4 linked regions of the Arabidopsis thaliana genome follow. The protein of the gene in region 4 binds, or shares a complex with, the protein of the main gene of each other region. Each region holds a gene or a part of one and is shown on either strand. Other genes may lie near its edges.

What was found.
Region 1: AT2G43030 (region 4) and PRPL28 share a complex: the UniProt entries of both Arabidopsis thaliana proteins name them as parts of the 50S ribosomal subunit.
Region 2: AT2G43030 (region 4) and emb2394 share a complex: the UniProt entries of both Arabidopsis thaliana proteins name them as parts of the 50S ribosomal subunit.
Region 3: AT2G43030 (region 4) and EMB3126 share a complex: the UniProt entries of both Arabidopsis thaliana proteins name them as parts of the 50S ribosomal subunit.

Annotation. Positions count from the first base shown.
Region 1 is NC_003071.7:14,171,877-14,175,158, reverse strand, and holds PRPL28 (Ribosomal L28 family), read right to left. Parts: upstream 1,581-3,282; 5' UTR 1,540-1,580; coding exon 1,341-1,539; intron 1,016-1,340; exon of another isoform or gene 1,012-1,015; coding exon 779-1,011; 3' UTR 570-778; downstream 1-569. Other genes in the region: RIC1 (ROP-interactive CRIB motif-containing protein 1), read left to right, coding at 1-30, 133-569; AT2G33435 (RNA-binding (RRM/RBD/RNP motifs) family protein), read right to left, coding at 1,933-2,527, 2,621-2,700, 2,794-2,883, 3,003-3,113.
Region 2 is NC_003070.9:1,501,711-1,505,727, reverse strand, and holds emb2394 (Ribosomal protein L6 family), read left to right. Parts: upstream 1-1,874; 5' UTR 1,875-1,989; coding exon 1,990-2,024; intron 2,025-2,466; coding exon 2,467-2,766; intron 2,767-2,876; coding exon 2,877-3,213; 3' UTR 3,214-3,477; downstream 3,478-4,017. Other genes in the region: GLR3.4 (glutamate receptor 3.4), read right to left, coding at 1-86; AXR1 (NAD(P)-binding Rossmann-fold superfamily protein), read left to right, coding at 3,953-4,017. UniProt on the Arabidopsis thaliana protein: This protein binds directly to 23S ribosomal RNA and is located at the aminoacyl-tRNA binding site of the peptidyltransferase center.
Region 3 is NC_003074.8:23,442,361-23,446,890, forward strand, and holds EMB3126 (Ribosomal protein L1p/L10e family), read left to right. Parts: upstream 1-1,842; 5' UTR 1,843-1,908; coding exon 1,909-2,238; intron 2,239-2,312; coding exon 2,313-2,492; intron 2,493-2,584; coding exon 2,585-2,639; exon of another isoform or gene 2,640-2,900; coding exon 2,901-3,028; intron 3,029-3,155; coding exon 3,156-3,239; intron 3,240-3,308; coding exon 3,309-3,434; intron 3,435-3,522; coding exon 3,523-3,660; 3' UTR 3,661-3,970; downstream 3,971-4,530. Other genes in the region: AT3G63480 (ATP binding microtubule motor family protein), read right to left, coding at 83-116, 200-241, 318-411, 484-509, 592-714, 802-831, 938-981, 1,141-1,243 and 1 more; TTA2 (fibronectin type III domain protein (DUF1423)), read right to left, coding at 3,971-4,530. UniProt on the Arabidopsis thaliana protein: This protein binds directly to 23S ribosomal RNA.
Region 4 is NC_003071.7:17,892,822-17,896,436, reverse strand, and holds AT2G43030 (Ribosomal protein L3 family protein), read right to left. Parts: upstream 1,642-3,615; 5' UTR 1,540-1,641; coding exon 724-1,539; 3' UTR 555-723; downstream 1-554. Other genes in the region: NPG1 (tetratricopeptide repeat (TPR)-containing protein), read left to right, coding at 60-388; PAO2 (polyamine oxidase 2), read right to left, coding at 1,997-2,735, 2,816-2,913, 3,004-3,106, 3,202-3,287, 3,402-3,489, 3,581-3,615. UniProt on the Arabidopsis thaliana protein: One of the primary rRNA binding proteins, it binds directly near the 3'-end of the 23S rRNA, where it nucleates assembly of the 50S subunit.

The sequences.
Region 1 (3,282 bases), 3.7 Mb from region 4:
GGGGAAATTCCAACAAATACAACCCGCAAGGTTAGTTATTTTTGCAAAGTGTGTTTTTCCTTTTCCCTTAAAGTGTTAAGCTTTGAGGAACAAATCTGGATTGGTTCGAGGAATTGATGTGTATCTCAATAGGGACGAACCAACGTGGAGCCGGGCTAAAAGAGTTACTGCCTTCGAACACAAACGAGAAACCGAAACAGAAAACAAGGCGGAAACCCGGAGGAGCAGCTTCTCCAAATCATAACGGGTCTCCGCCTAGAAAAAGTAGCGGAAATGCTGCATCATCAGATGAACCATCAAAGCATTCAAGACATAACCGAAGCGCACACGGGTCAACAGACTCATCGAATGATCAAGAACCATCAGTTCGCAGAAGGCGTGGTGGTATCCCGGCTCCAGACACAGAAGTTCCTAATCAAATACCTGATGGTTCAGCTCCTCCACGGAAGGCTACATCGCGTCCTAGGAAACTAAAAGGATCATCAGCAGGAGGAGAAGGTTCGATTAAGAAGTCTTCAAAAGGAAAACCCGAGAATTCAGTTGATACAACCTGTAACGATATTATCTGAGAAACATAAACAAAACCATGAAATGTATTATTTGAGCCACCTGCAAGTGAGAGTTTGTTTTCGTTTCTCTTTAAAGTCTTTTCTTGACAGTGTCTGATACAACAACTCAGAGATTCCATTGATACTTACCAAAATCTAGAAAGGAAATGTACGAGTACTGCAAAAGGAGAAGCAAGAAATGTATATAATAAACTTTGCGATCATCATATCTATTTCTTGCGAAGATCAATGCCGGCTTTCTTGGCAACAGCGTCGAGTCCGTTCTTCTCAATGGTCTTCAAAGCCTTAGTTGATAAACGAAGTTTGACAAAACGTTTGCCAGCTTCCCACCAAACTCTCTTGTATTGTAAGTTGACGAATTGCAACTTCTTGGTCTTGTGGTTAGAGAATGAAACTTTGTTTGCTCTGTTTGCTTTCTTCCCAGTAAAAGGGCAGATTCTACCTGACATTTTGGAAAACAAAAACACAGTTTCAAGAAAAAAGGAGCAAATTGCCCAATGCTCAGAATCATATAAATGTGGTCAATTTTGGAGAATTTTTTTAACATAACATCAAATTCAAAGGAAAAGTTTAATACGAGAAATTATGCTACGGGTTTTAAATACACTGCTCATTTTCATATCTAAAAGCAAAGACATAGTTCCAGACAATTCAACACAAGCTTGCTAACTCAGAGATTCGAAATTCGACATGAATAAAACGAAAGCAAGATAAATTTAGTACGCCAATGCATTCGACTAAACCCTAAGAGAAAGGGAAAAGGGGAATTACGTGCGACGATTGGCTGAATCCCGGGGAACGAAGGAAGGGAGATACGGTTGATGACGTCACTGGGAGTATATGAGATTCTTAAGCCGCTGAGCTGGGAGGTGAGGAATCCAAGCTCCTTTGAAGTCACGGTTGACTTGGTCATGGACTTGGCTGATGAGGTCATTCGTAGCCAAGCGCCTTGTGTCGCCATTGTCGTCATTTTTGGTTGCTGTTACTTCTGCTTCGAAGGAGGATTTGGATAAAGAAGGAGATTGGGTTCATTTTATTTATTATTTTGTAGAAAATGAAAGACGCTTTCTCATTCAGAAGGTTACGTTCTCTTTTAACACAACAATTTTTCAGTAAGCAAACCGGTCCATATAGCCACCAACACAATAGTATGGTTTCATCTTTCCCTTCTTGGATTCTCTAATACATAAAAGTAACGAGACACAGGTGGTGATGAATAATCCAACCTGATCAATCCCAACGATTACAAAGAGATTTTTGAAGGGTTTTTGATTGTAGATGCTATGTATCTCTGAACTCGGTTTGAACCGGTTATGTGGTAAAGATGAGAAGAATCACAGAGTCTCACTTGTTGTGGGATTATTTACCCACTTGGGAACCGGATTTGGTAAAGCTCTTTAGAAACATATTCTGCTTTCACAATCCGGTTATCATATAGCCTTCCGTGTAAAGAATGGGCTGCATCACATGTCGCTTCTGGTCTTCTGTACTCAATGAAGATACAACCCGTCTCAAATACATCCTCGGGGTCTTCTTCTTGTTCTTCTTCTATCTTGTCGCCAGCATCCCATCTTGTCTTCACGGTACGCACTGATGCTACTTCTTGTGGATTCTCTGCCTCGGCCTGCGCACTTTCTTCAACAATCTTTTCACAATGCTCTTGTTCAGTGGAGTGTAGATCTTCATTTTCTTGAGTGCTTGTTTCAGCAGCAGTATCCGAGCACGGTTCACATAACTTGTCTTCACCTGTCAAACTGTCTGGCATGACAACCTCTGCAAGATCTACATTGTCTGCAATATCTTCCGCTTTCTCGGATCCTTCATCTTTCTCCTCGATCACTGACACATTCATTTCTTTAGAATCAGTTGATTCTAAGTTCAACAATGGATTTGTTTCAGAAACAGTGATATCTTTGCTCTTGTGTTCCAAGATGTTTATCGACTTAATAACCCCAAACCTGCATCATGACAAGACCCAGAGGCCTATTTTCTTAATTTACTAGCTTTTAAAAGCTCAATGGACTCATGGGAAGATGATCTCAGAGCTTAACCTGGCACATTCTAACCGTACATCCTCCAAAATTTCTTTCACTTCTTGCTCGGAAAACGACGTGAGATCTTCTGGGTCAACCTGTCAAACAAGAAAGAATGGAATGTTAATATAGCCTCACATAGTTTATTTGGGAAAGATTCACAAGAAAAAGGATACACCAATTATGCTTACCACATTTTTTAGCTTTAGAATATTCTTAGGCTTGCCAAGAAGTGGTTTTGCATGGCTAGGTATCCCATAGAATGGTGGATTCTCATTCACCTGCAACACATATTACGTACACACACCACTCTCACAAGTAACTAAAGGAATTTCTGTTCAATGTCACCCATACAAACACAACATGAACTAACGAAAGCAAAGTTGGGTCACTGAATTACCGCTACGGATGATGCATCAGGAAATGCACAAACGGCTGTTATTACACTGCCACCTAACCTCATACCATTTAGACCAGCACAAGCTTTGAGGGTAACAGATCCATCAGTGTACTGAAATATAGAGATTTAAAAAGAGTTAGGGCTGGTTAATATGAATATACTTGGAACTACAGTCACATTCATGGTTACTCTGTAAAAGTTACAAGGTAATAACACCTTCCCATGCTACCCGGAAAATGAAAAATTAAAGATATGAAACAATCACAAGAACTACATCGAG
Region 2 (4,017 bases), on a different chromosome or scaffold from region 4:
ACAACCCACAAGACAGAAACACATAACAACACAACTCTGATTGCTTTCGCCATGGAAACTTCTCTTATCATCACCAAAAATCCCATCTTTATCACAATTTCCAGCAAAAGCACTAGTTTTTCTTTGTCCTGGTCTCATATAACCATTTGATTTATTTGGAGTAACACCTGCGAAATAAACAATGCCCAACCTGAATCAAAATTGAGATTATAACAAAAGACAAAAAAGATGGTCCAGAAATCTGGTGAAAGAAGGCAAAACCAACCAAGAAATCGGGAGTTAGATTCTGTAGAGAGATTGGTGTATACAGATTTTTGTGTCTGTATATTTATTTATAGTGTATAAAATAATGTATTTATATGAGGCCCTTTGATTCTAGAAACTGGTGCTTTACATGTGCAAGTAAGAACTGAAAATAATGAAGTGTAAGAGGGCCGTCTTAAAGATGGTTCGCAGAGAAAGAAGCAAAAAGTGTAATAAATAATTCAATGAACAAATAACTAAAGATTATATATGTAAGAACATAAAGAAAAACAAAAATTAAAAGATCCAATTGAGAAAAAGAAGAAGCAACCTTGGAATAAATACGAGAAACAAACTTTAATCAGAGATCCATAATCTTCACAAGTAAACGAGTGATTTAGCACTAAGCATAAAGAAGAAAGACAGAGAAAAGAAGTCGAAGAAGCAGAAGAAGAACTGTTTCTGAGCTCAAGCAAAGAATAATTCATAATATTCTCTCTCCTTTTTTTTCCCTATTTTCTTCCTTATCATTACTTATTTTTTTGGTATTTTATGAAATTTTGTAAATTTTGTTTTGGAGTGCTATTTCTGGAGTGGTCAGTGAAGACGTAGGCCAAGGTGTGGGGTAGTATGATCGATGCTTTACTTGTGTCCTCATACTATTCGATAAATCAAATTTTTACGTTGGCTCTTATTGGTAACTATCATTTATTAAGGTAGTTGATGCATTTTTCTTTTTGGTTACAACGGATATAGTTAAATGGTAATTAGGGTAACTACGTATGACATGAGGCAAAATAATAATTGAAAATGTGAATGTGAGGAGTGACGACCTAATTGCTCCAAGGCCGCCTTCGTCAAAGAATAAGTCTCCTCAACGGTTGTCAAATCAATTTCACACAAAAAAAAAAGAAAAGAAAAAGATATTTTCAGACATAAATAGTAAAGTAATTGTACTATTGATTTCATATGATAAAAGGTGCATGAAACACATGGTCGACTATTTTTTGTCTTTAGAGTGTTCATTAAGGAATGTTATTAAAAAAAACTTATAAGAGCTGCATTTGTTATTACATAGTTCCTTATTGAAATTTTCATTTGTTAATTGTTAACACAAAATAAAATATGCCACTGAATCCACAAATATCTTGTCGGTATCGAACTTTTTATTTATTTAGAACAAGAATATCTTGACCAAATGAAATGTGAACCAGGAAAATAAATATACAGTTCATCTTTTTTTTCTTTGAATCTTCTCAATTTGTTGTTTGGATTTTTCTGAGGGTAAGGGCCCATTTCATTTTTAAATTTGTCTGTTAAGAGTAGTTTAAAATCCATGCCTTTAAAAGATTCGACTTGAAAACATACTTAATCGGGAAAGATGCACAATTTTGATCCAAACGCATCTACTAATAATCTATTGACTTCATTAATCTAATCCAAACTCCACGTTCATTGGGTAAATTTTGTGAACAGTTATTATAATAATGGGCCTAGAAACAGTGAGATAATAGGCCATGATCAATATAGATAAATGGGTTACACAAATAATGAATTGTCCCACAGAAGGATGGTTAAAAGTAATGGGCCGAAAATAGTGAGCTAATGGGCCGTGAAAGTAATGATTTGAAAGAGGGGATTACAGAAGCTGACGATGGATAAGTCTTTTCTGGATAAAACGCTCTTCTTCTTCTCTTCATCCTCCTTCTGGAGCAGAGCTTAGAGCTCCATCATCAAATCTTATCAATGGCTTCCTCACTCGTCTCATCTTTTCAACCCAGGTACTTTTCATATACTACAAACCATAGAGCTTCTTCATTCCGCTAGGGTTTCGTTTTCTTTACTTGGCATTTTCTACTCAAAAATCTCTATAAACTGTGTTCATGAGCCTCCCAAGTATAAGGAATCTCTTTGAATGGGTTATTTTTATCTTTTTAAATCGATGGCAATGTTGAATTGGTTATGGACTCTTGAAATTGTGGATTTTTATTTTGGGAATTTGAATGTGTTATGCGGAACTCACTGTGTAAAAAGCAGGATTCTAGAGGGGTTTTTAGCCATGGAAACTGAAAGTTCTACAAGAATGTTTCTCTTCCTTAATCTAACGTTATCTTTGTTCCAATAACAGTTTCTGTGTATTGGTTTAGATATATATCTGGTAGAGTTTTACTTTCTTGACATGTTTTATCTGAAGATAGATAGATAACTTCCCCTTTGTTTTAGGTCAGCATTTTTGGGAGATAGAAATGTGTTCAAGGTCTCAAGCACACCTTTTGCTCAAGTGGGTTACTCCAGTAAGACCATTGAGTGCAAAGAATCAAGGATAGGAAAGCAACCGATCGCTGTACCTTCCAATGTAACCATTGCATTGGAAGGTCAAGACTTGAAAGTGAAGGGTCCATTAGGAGAGCTGGCTTTAACTTACCCACGCGAAGTTGAGCTTACAAAGGAAGAATCCGGTTTCTTAAGGGTCAAAAAAACCGTCGAAACTAGAAGAGCCAACCAAATGCACGGCCTTTTCAGGTTACAAACTTCTCATCTTTTCTTGTCATCCAATGAAGTCCTTAACTTTTTTGAGGTTAAAAGATCGTTTGTTCTCTAATCTTTTTTTTTAACTTCTGTGTGACTTTTAGGACGCTTACCGATAACATGGTTGTGGGAGTATCAAAGGGATTTGAGAAAAAGCTTATACTTGTGGGTGTTGGTTATCGTGCAACAGTAGACGGAAAGGAGCTGGTGCTAAATCTCGGGTTTTCACACCCGGTGAAGATGCAGATACCGGATAGTCTGAAAGTGAAAGTGGAAGAGAACACAAGAATCACTGTGAGTGGATACGACAAGAGCGAAATCGGGCAGTTTGCTGCAACGGTTAGGAAGTGGAGGCCACCAGAGCCATACAAGGGGAAAGGAGTCAAGTATTCCGATGAGATAGTTCGGAGGAAGGAAGGAAAAGCTGGAAAGAAGAAATGATCTTCATTTTTCATTATTATCTACTTACTTATCTCTTCCTTTCAATGTTTATGTGTATTTGCTCAAATTTGTTTAGAAATGAAGATGTTTGTGTTGGGATTCTTGAGTAAGTTTTTAAAGGAACCCATTAATTGTTTTTGATGCTCTGACAAAAATTTCTTTAGTGCTTTGATTGAACAAGAACTTGGGCACAAAGTGCCTCATCGGTGTGATTCTATTGTTATGTTTCCTTATTGAACCAAACCAATCCAAATCGGACAAAAATCATGGTAGATAAACTTTTTAAAACAATTTTTTAATCTATTCTTCTTTTTTTTAATTACAAATTTTCTTATTTTCTTATATCTAAAAAATCGTAACAGTAAGATATTAATATCTGTATTCTTAATTTGGTAGATAACTTTTTAAAAAACGAAAATTTCCTATAAGAATAATAATAGTCGGAAATAAAACAAAAAACAATATCATGGTGATTATTCTTATTTGCTTATATCTTCTTCTTTTTCACAATTTTTTTTTAAAAAAAATATTTACAAAATTTTCTTATTTGCTTATATATATAAAAAATCAGTAAGATATTAATATCGATTTTTTAATTTGGTAGATAACTTTTTTCAAACGATAAATTTCCTAAAAACAATAAAATATTCGGAAATAAACAAAAACCCTGATTGAAGAAAAGTCTTTTTGTTTATCAGTTCACCGGAGGCAAAAATCGTCTCTCGCTTGAGCTGCGAAGATGCAAGCAGTAAAAAGATCCAGGAGACATGTTGAAGAAGAGCCAACAATGGTAGAACCTAAAAC
Region 3 (4,530 bases), on a different chromosome or scaffold from region 4:
CGGAGTAGCATAATCATAATCTCACTATCGACTAAATGGGGAAACATTGAACAAGTAAGTGCTGTAAAAGCTAAGAGGATACGGGTTTCCCCAACTGCGCGGTTAGCTAAACCGGTCTGAAATGGCAATTGGCATCAGAAATAAGAAAGAAGAAGGCCGTATAAGGCAATTAAGAAACTTAGGGTAGCTGCTATCTTACGCATAGATGTTGTAATGCCTCCACCGAATCTGATACAGGCACCTGAAGCAACGAATGATTAAAACTTGCCTACCCAGTAAAGATTTTTCTCAACACTAGCAAATAGAAGATATAAGACAATGAAGCTAGCCTCTGTAACGCCTGACAAGAGTATTCCTTGTGTTTTGTTCTCCTTGATCTGTATGTTTGCTTTTGATAAGTCCAACAGGTCCCTGAGAGATATATGAATTTATCGATAAGCTATATACCCTAGAAGAAATCAGAGGGAATTACATACACAATACCTGACTTTCTCCATGTAGATCTCAACCTAGAGGAGACAAAAGACACGTAAGATGTCTATACAGGAGAGCTTGAAAGGAGACTTATAGCAAGTGCATTTAAGTCAGTACCATAGACAATTTAACAGTGTATCTTGCAATATCATTGGAAGAGCTGATTTGCTCAAACATCCCATGGACCACTCTTGGAAGAAGTCCTTTATTGTGCTCATCACAGTCCTGGATGCCTGGTCCCTGAATCAATCGAAGAAAACCAAAATGAGCCAGAAGAAGGAATGGTCCTTGTGCTACAGGAAGAGGTATCAAGATGAGTTAGGTGACCTCCATGGAATAAGTCTTCCCAGCCCCTGTCTGCATAGTATAACATGAAACGATCAAATTGAGATCAAAATCTGCCAAATTAAGAAAAAGACATTGAAAGCATTTCCAGATAAAAGAGATCAGGAGAAGAACAAACCTGTCCATAAGTGATGATTGTTCCGTTTATACCATTTACAGCGTCTGAAAGTAGTAGTAGTAGTACAAAGGTAAAAGATGCAAAAGACAAAGGTAGGAGGAAACCAAAACCAAAAATGTTGATTACATTGTAAAATCATAAGATTGGTGCTCAAATGTTTAGATCTAAAATCCAGAAGAGAAGATCAAGGAATCAATTAGTACCTCTCATGATGGGGAGAGCCAGAAACTCATAAACCGCAGCTTGGGTAGAGTCCTCATAAAAAACTCTATCGAGGCTAAATGTAAATTCATCTTCCTTGTCATCCTACACGCAAGTAAAAACGCTAGATAGAGTTTGAGAGACAGAGAGAGAGAGACAATATTAATCAAGCACACGGCGTCGAGTAGACAAACTTGGAAAACGAAGGTTTCAGCGTCGATGGGTCGAGCACAGACACCATCTCTGCTGGGATCGCGCATCTCTTTAGAGCTTCGCGGCCTGAATCGCGCACAGACGGTTACGTTAGACATCTCCTCTCCTTATCGGAACGAGCTCAGTCTACAGTGAAACACCCAAAATGAGTCAGCAGAAGATGAATGAAATTGGGGAAATAGTAGCACAGGAAATTTGAAGCTGAGAGAAAAGGAATCGGAACTTACCTCTCAAATGGAGTGGAGAGTCAGAGTAGGGTTTCTCTTACGGGCGGGAAAGAAGAAACTCGAAATCTGATTTTTGAGAAAAGAGAAGGAAGAAGAAGAAGGAGAAGGAGAAGAGGTCACGAGGATACGCGTGTGGGTTGTTAAAAGATCTAATGGTCCATAAGAAGACACGTGTCACTAGGAACACGGTAGCTAAGGTGCCCGCCACGCAGAGAATAATAGCTTAGAAAGAATAGGGGGTGTTGTTATCCCCTTGGGCGTGGAGTGGATTAGGGAGACTCGCACTCTTCTTCTTCTTCTTTGTACCCAGAAAGAAAGAGAGCTCCAACAATGGCTGCTTGCGCTACTCACTCCTCTCTCATGCTAGCATACGCCGCCGCATCCACTCGTTCCCAGGACCTTACCCCTACTCCATCTCTTTTCTCTTTTGCCAGCTCCAGACCCAACCACTTGAGCTTCCCGCTTCTTCTCCTTGGGGGTTCCAGGGACCGGAGATGTGCTGCTATTGACAGAGCTTCCAACCACAAGTTTATTGTCTCCGCCGTGGCCGCTGAGGCTGACCTCGACACGGAGGAGGACCTGGAGCAGACCGCCACCGCCGTCCTTGATCCGCCCAAGCCTAAGAAAGGAAAAGCCGCTTTGGTTCTCAAGAGAGATAGAGTATGTGCTTTACCTACTTCAATTTCGCTTCCTTTACTCGTGAATCATCACTTTGTTTGCTTACCCATTGACAGACAAGGTCTAAGAGGTTTTTGGAAATCCAAAAGCTAAGGGAAACCAAAAAGGAGTATGATGTCAACACTGCTATCTCTTTGCTTAAACAAACTGCCAACACAAGGTTTGTTGAGTCTGTTGAAGCCCATTTCCGTCTCAACATCGATCCTAAGTACAATGACCAGCAGCTGCGTGCAACGGTCTGCTTTGCCTTTTGCTGGATATACACTCTATCTTGTGCTGCTTCATTCCACAACATTTTTTAATCTCAATGCATTGTCTTTTTGTATAGGTGAGCCTGCCTAAGGGAACTGGCCAGACTGTTATAGTCGCTGTTCTTGCACAAGGTATATTGCCCCACCAAATTCACTGCTAGGACTTAGGACAGAGATTATGCTTTACCATTTCAGTCACCAAATTCACTGTTAGGACTTAGGACAGAGATAATGTTTACGGTATCAGTCAGTCAGTCAGTACTTCTCTAGATGCAACATTGTTTGGTGCGATTGACTTTTTATTTATATATTGATTGGATGGAGTTCTTGTGTATCATGTGGCTTATTCTTTCTAAATCTTTGGCTTGCACCATTTCCATGCTGAACTTCCAGGTGAGAAGGTTGATGAAGCCAAAAGTGCAGGGGCAGATATTGTGGGCAGTGATGATTTAATCGAACAGATTAAAGGAGGCTTCATGGAGTTTGACAAGCTGATTGCATCCCCGGATATGATGGTCAAGGTATGTGTTGATGATATAATGTTCTACTTGTTACAGCATATGAAACCGTCATGCTTGGCAAATAAGGTGGCATGAGATACTTGTAACTCGTGATCTATTTTCTAACATTCTTGAACTTGGCGCTTAGGTTGCTGGCCTGGGAAAGATTCTTGGACCACGGGGGCTCATGCCAAATCCCAAGGCTGGTACAGTCACAGCGAACATTCCCCAGGTAAGCCTACTCTGCAACATCTTTTCCTGATTCTGGTAGTCATGGCTTAAAGATGCATAAATCTCTCAGGCTATTGAAGAGTTCAAGAAGGGGAAAGTTGAATTCAGAGCAGACAAAACTGGGATTGTTCACATTCCATTTGGGAAAGTTAATTTTACAGAGGAAGACCTTCTCATAAACTTCCTTGCAGCAGTGGTAGGCTAATTCTCCATTCTTATTACGTATTTCTGTGGTTTAAAATACAAAAAAAAATGAAGAGGGAAAAGTAAATGATGAAATGCAGAAATCGGTGGAGACAAACAAGCCAAAGGGAGCTAAAGGAGTGTACTGGAAAAGCGCTCACATATGCTCGTCAATGGGGCCTTCCATCAAGTTGAACATAAGAGAGATGATAGACTTCAAGCCTCCCACTGCGAACTAATCGACAACGCCATTTGTAAATGGGGTCCTTTTGGGAGACGGGCAATGCCAGTGTAGACAGAGAAGAGAAACACCAAGTCTAGTCTGTTAGTAATCTTTTCACGCCTCACTGCTTTGTATCACTTTGATGGCCATTTGCTTCTTGTCGTTATTTATTTACTATTGCCTATTAAAATTTGGCAAGGGGCTGTACATGTCAGGACGCAGAACTCTTTAGTACTCTCTAAAAGAAAAGACCTTACATTGATCTTTAGGTTACATACGAGGAGGAGGTTTCTGTGTACATTACATGTGATTTACTACTACAAATATTACAAGGCCAGACTCTGCTTCGTCATTTCCATTTTGGTGAGAAGCCCTCTCATCTCTTCCTCCATTCTCATCTTCATTTCATAAAACTCTCTCTGCCCTCTCTGCATTGCCTCTAACTCCTCGTACCTCCTCCTCCTTCTCTCCTGTGCATCCTCCATACTCAACTTCCCCATTCTCCGATTGTACTCTTCTTCTATCTTCTCCTTCTTCGCTATTGCTATTCGTTTCAGTCCCTCTGCTTCTCTTCGTGCATCATCGGCCCGCCCTTGGAACATTTCTGCCTCTGCTTGCTTCATTCTCACAATGCTCTCTAGCTCTTCGAAACGAGGTTCCTTTGGTGAACCCCTTTCCAACTCCATCTCCACTGCACATATTTCAACTTGCCTCTCTCTGTGGAATGCATCAGCTACGCTCGCTGACCTTTTCAGCTGATTATGCGGGTTATCTGAGCACACCGATCTCAGCCACGCCGTGTCCTGACTAGGGCTTCCCCTCTCATGCCTGGGTTTTGGCTGTTCGTATATGAACGGTGCACTAGTTTCAGCAGGAGTGGAGGAAT
Region 4 (3,615 bases):
TTAGAATCATCCATTACTTGATTTACTCAAATTTGGTTTGAATCTTTGGGAATGATCAGGTCGAATGTGGGAAGGACGAAAGGAGTTCAAACCCGCGCTAGCAGCTTTCTTGGACGGTTTATTACTAGACGGATCATCGGTTCCTTGCAAAGTAGCGGTTGGAGCGTTATTGTCCGAAAGAGGGAAAGATCATCAGCCAACTCTCCCCGTGGCTAGAAGTTTGCTCTCTGATGCATTGAGGATCGATCCAACAAACCGAAAAGCTTGGTATTACTTAGGAATGGTTCATAAATCTGATGGACGTATAGCTGATGCTACTGATTGCTTCCAAGCTGCTTCTATGCTTGAAGAGTCTGATCCTATTGAAAGCTTCTCAACCATTCTTTAAAAATCCATCATAAAGATTTATATTCATATGTTCATTTTTTGTCTGTCATCTCATGTACAATTTTAAACCTTCTTAATTTCTTCAAACTAAATATATATTACATTGTTCGTTAGTTCTTTATGTTTAGAACTTTAGATGCTGAATTTTGGATACGCTTTCGAGTTTTGTAATCGCAGTTGAATCACAATTCAAGAACATTAGCATAGAAATACTTCCGACTTATACAAAAACTCCAATTCTAAGAAAGAAACTGTGATTTAGCAATTCGATACAAATTTTCAAGGAATGGATAAACACAAGTCAACATTACAAAACAAAACAGAGTCTCTTCTCTACTAGTTCTTGGGAATGTTAACTCCGACGATTTTAGCGGGAGTAATACGAAGAAGATTCCCAGGCTTACCAGGCAAAGCACCTTTGATCATGACAACATTAAGCTCCTTATCAACTTTAACAATCTTAAGCTTCCTAATCTTTGTCCTCGTCCCTCCCATTCTTCCAGGCATCTTCTTCCCTTTATAAACTCTTCCCGGAGTAGTACCAGCACCAATCGAACCCAAAGCTCGATGACTCTTGGAACCATGAGTCATCTGACCTCTCTTGAAATGATGCCTTTTGATTCCTCCTTGAAACCCTTTACCAATTGTGGTTCCAGCTACATCAACGAGATCACCTTCTTTGAATATCTCATCGAACACAAGCTTCTGGTTCGGTTCGAATCCTTCGATGTTTGTTAATCTGAACTCTTGGAGATGTCTCATTGGGATTGTACCGGCTTTTTGGAGATGACCGGTTTCCGGTTTAGTTAGCTTTTTGTCGCGTACACGACGGTAACCGATTTGAACCGCGTCGTAACCGTCTGTGGCTAGGGTTTTGATTTGGGTTACGATGTTACCTTCGCGGAATCCGACGACTGTTACTGGAACTACTGTGCCGTCTTCTTCGAAGAAACTCATCATCCCGAGTTTTGACCCCATTACTCCGATTCCAGCTTCCATGGATGATGAAACCACGAATCTGGTTTTTGGTGATGATTTGATGAGAAGTGAAGAGGATTTCGCCGGGAGGAAAGTGGGAGTGAAGAGTGAAGAGGATAAGGTTGTTTTGTTGAGCAGAGATGGGAAAGAAACAACCGCCATAGCTATCGCCATTGTCGGAGATTCACAGAGGAGAAGAAACTCTGAGAGAGGATAAAGCTCTGTGCCACACTCTTATCTTCTTCTCCAGTTATGAAATTTATTATTATACCGCTGAAGATACTCATATTTACAAAACACGGTGGTTTACCTTTTGCAACATCGGTCCTTTAAATCTGATTTTATTCATTTTGTATTTTTTCTTCTTATTGTATTCAATTTAACCTCTTTCAAGATTGGTGTTTATATTAGTTAGCACAAGTGAGAAAAGAAAATAGTACTTGAATTCTTAAAGATGATTATCATATATAAATAATATCACAAGGATATAATGTTCCAATTTATTGAATTAAAAACACTGAGAAAATAAGACTGGGAATGTTTTAAACGATCCGACACGAGAATAATTTTAGTTTCATATTAAGACAATCATCACTTGAGGTTCCTTCTAGTAAACGATAACTGATGGAGTTTAGAGACGAGATATAAGAAGAGGTACAGAGGCAGGTCCTTCCTCGCCCATCACAGGCTGGAACAGATCCAACTCACCATACCGCTCCAGAACTCGCATCCTACAATCTTCAGCTGCCATCAATCCAGTTGAATAAGCGCCGTGAACCGAGCCCGGGAAGCTCGAGCTCGTCGCTTCACCGGCAAAGAATAAGTTATCCACTGGAACCCTAAGCCTCTCGTAGAGATCATGAGGTTTGCCCACGATATCATAGCTATAAGATCCCATTGAATTCACATCAGATCCCCACCTCGACACGAGATACTGTACCGGAGGCAATGCATCGGGAAGAATTCTCTGGAGTTGCAAGACGGCGAAATTTGCAGCTGCTTCATCAGACATTTTCTCAATGTCTTTGGCAAGCTGACCAGCCGGCATGTAAACCAGAACCGGATGACCCGTGGCCTTGTGCAGGTTCAAAAAATAACTGCAACCGTAGGAGGTTTCAGCTACCACTCCTAGAAACTCTACTTTCGGCCAAAAGACTTTCTCAAAATGTAGTATGATCTTGTTCTCAATACCTACTCCTAGGTCGTTGATTGCTTCTTGTTTCCACTCAGGTAGCTTAGGTTCGAACTTTATGGTTCCCGATTTTAAAACTCCAAGAGGGACAGCAATGACTGCAGCATCCGCAACAAAAGTTTGCCCGTTTTCTGTCGTTACCTTCACTCCATTGTACCGCCTGACAATCTTAGTAACCCTGAGAGAAGGAGAAACACGAGGTTATGACTGTGAAACACTAAACGAATGCCATAACTCTTGAAAAACGCAAAAGCTTACCTGTGGCCTACTCGGATATCAAGACCTTTCGCCAGAGTATTGATGACAGGACGATACCCTCTAACCATAAGACCGTGTCCACCAGGCAACAATTCCTCCTGCACATTTCTCGGAGTGTTAAACCAAAAATTCAAGAAGCAGTCTATACAAAAAAAACTCTTAACTACGAGAGAAAGAATGTAACTAACCTGGTCCCAACACTTTGCAGAGATGGTTTCAGCATCTGCGGCAAACCATCCTTCCATGCGGCATACATACCATTGAAGTACGTTGTGTGCAAGCCCCTCTAACCTGGATGTGAAAATTCAAAATTCAACCATGAAACCAAGCTTGCAAAAGTGCATTGCCTAAAGAAATTGAGAAAATGAGACATTATGTATACAAACCTCAGCTCGGGTTTCCTAGAAAAGACAATTGAGAAAGCCTGAGAAATTGAAATGTCAGCATCCTGCTCATCCCTGACTTTATTGATCTGTGTTTGCAATAGACGAATCTAGTTAGCATGAGCATCAATCAAAGACTTGCAACATCAAGAAATACGAGAATAGGAATAAAGAAGAAATCTAAATGAATGTGAAGGACATACCTCTTCCAAAATACGCTCAAACGTTACGCCAATCTGAGTTACCAATTCTTGAGGAACTTGGTTGCCATCCATATCAAACAGAGCATAGCTACAGAAACAAAAGAATTGCACTGTGAGTTTTAAGGTGTCAAACAAGAATAAAAAGATGGAGGTAACAAAATCGAAATATTCAAGCAAACCTCTCGAGATCATGATCATACAGGACGGAATTGTC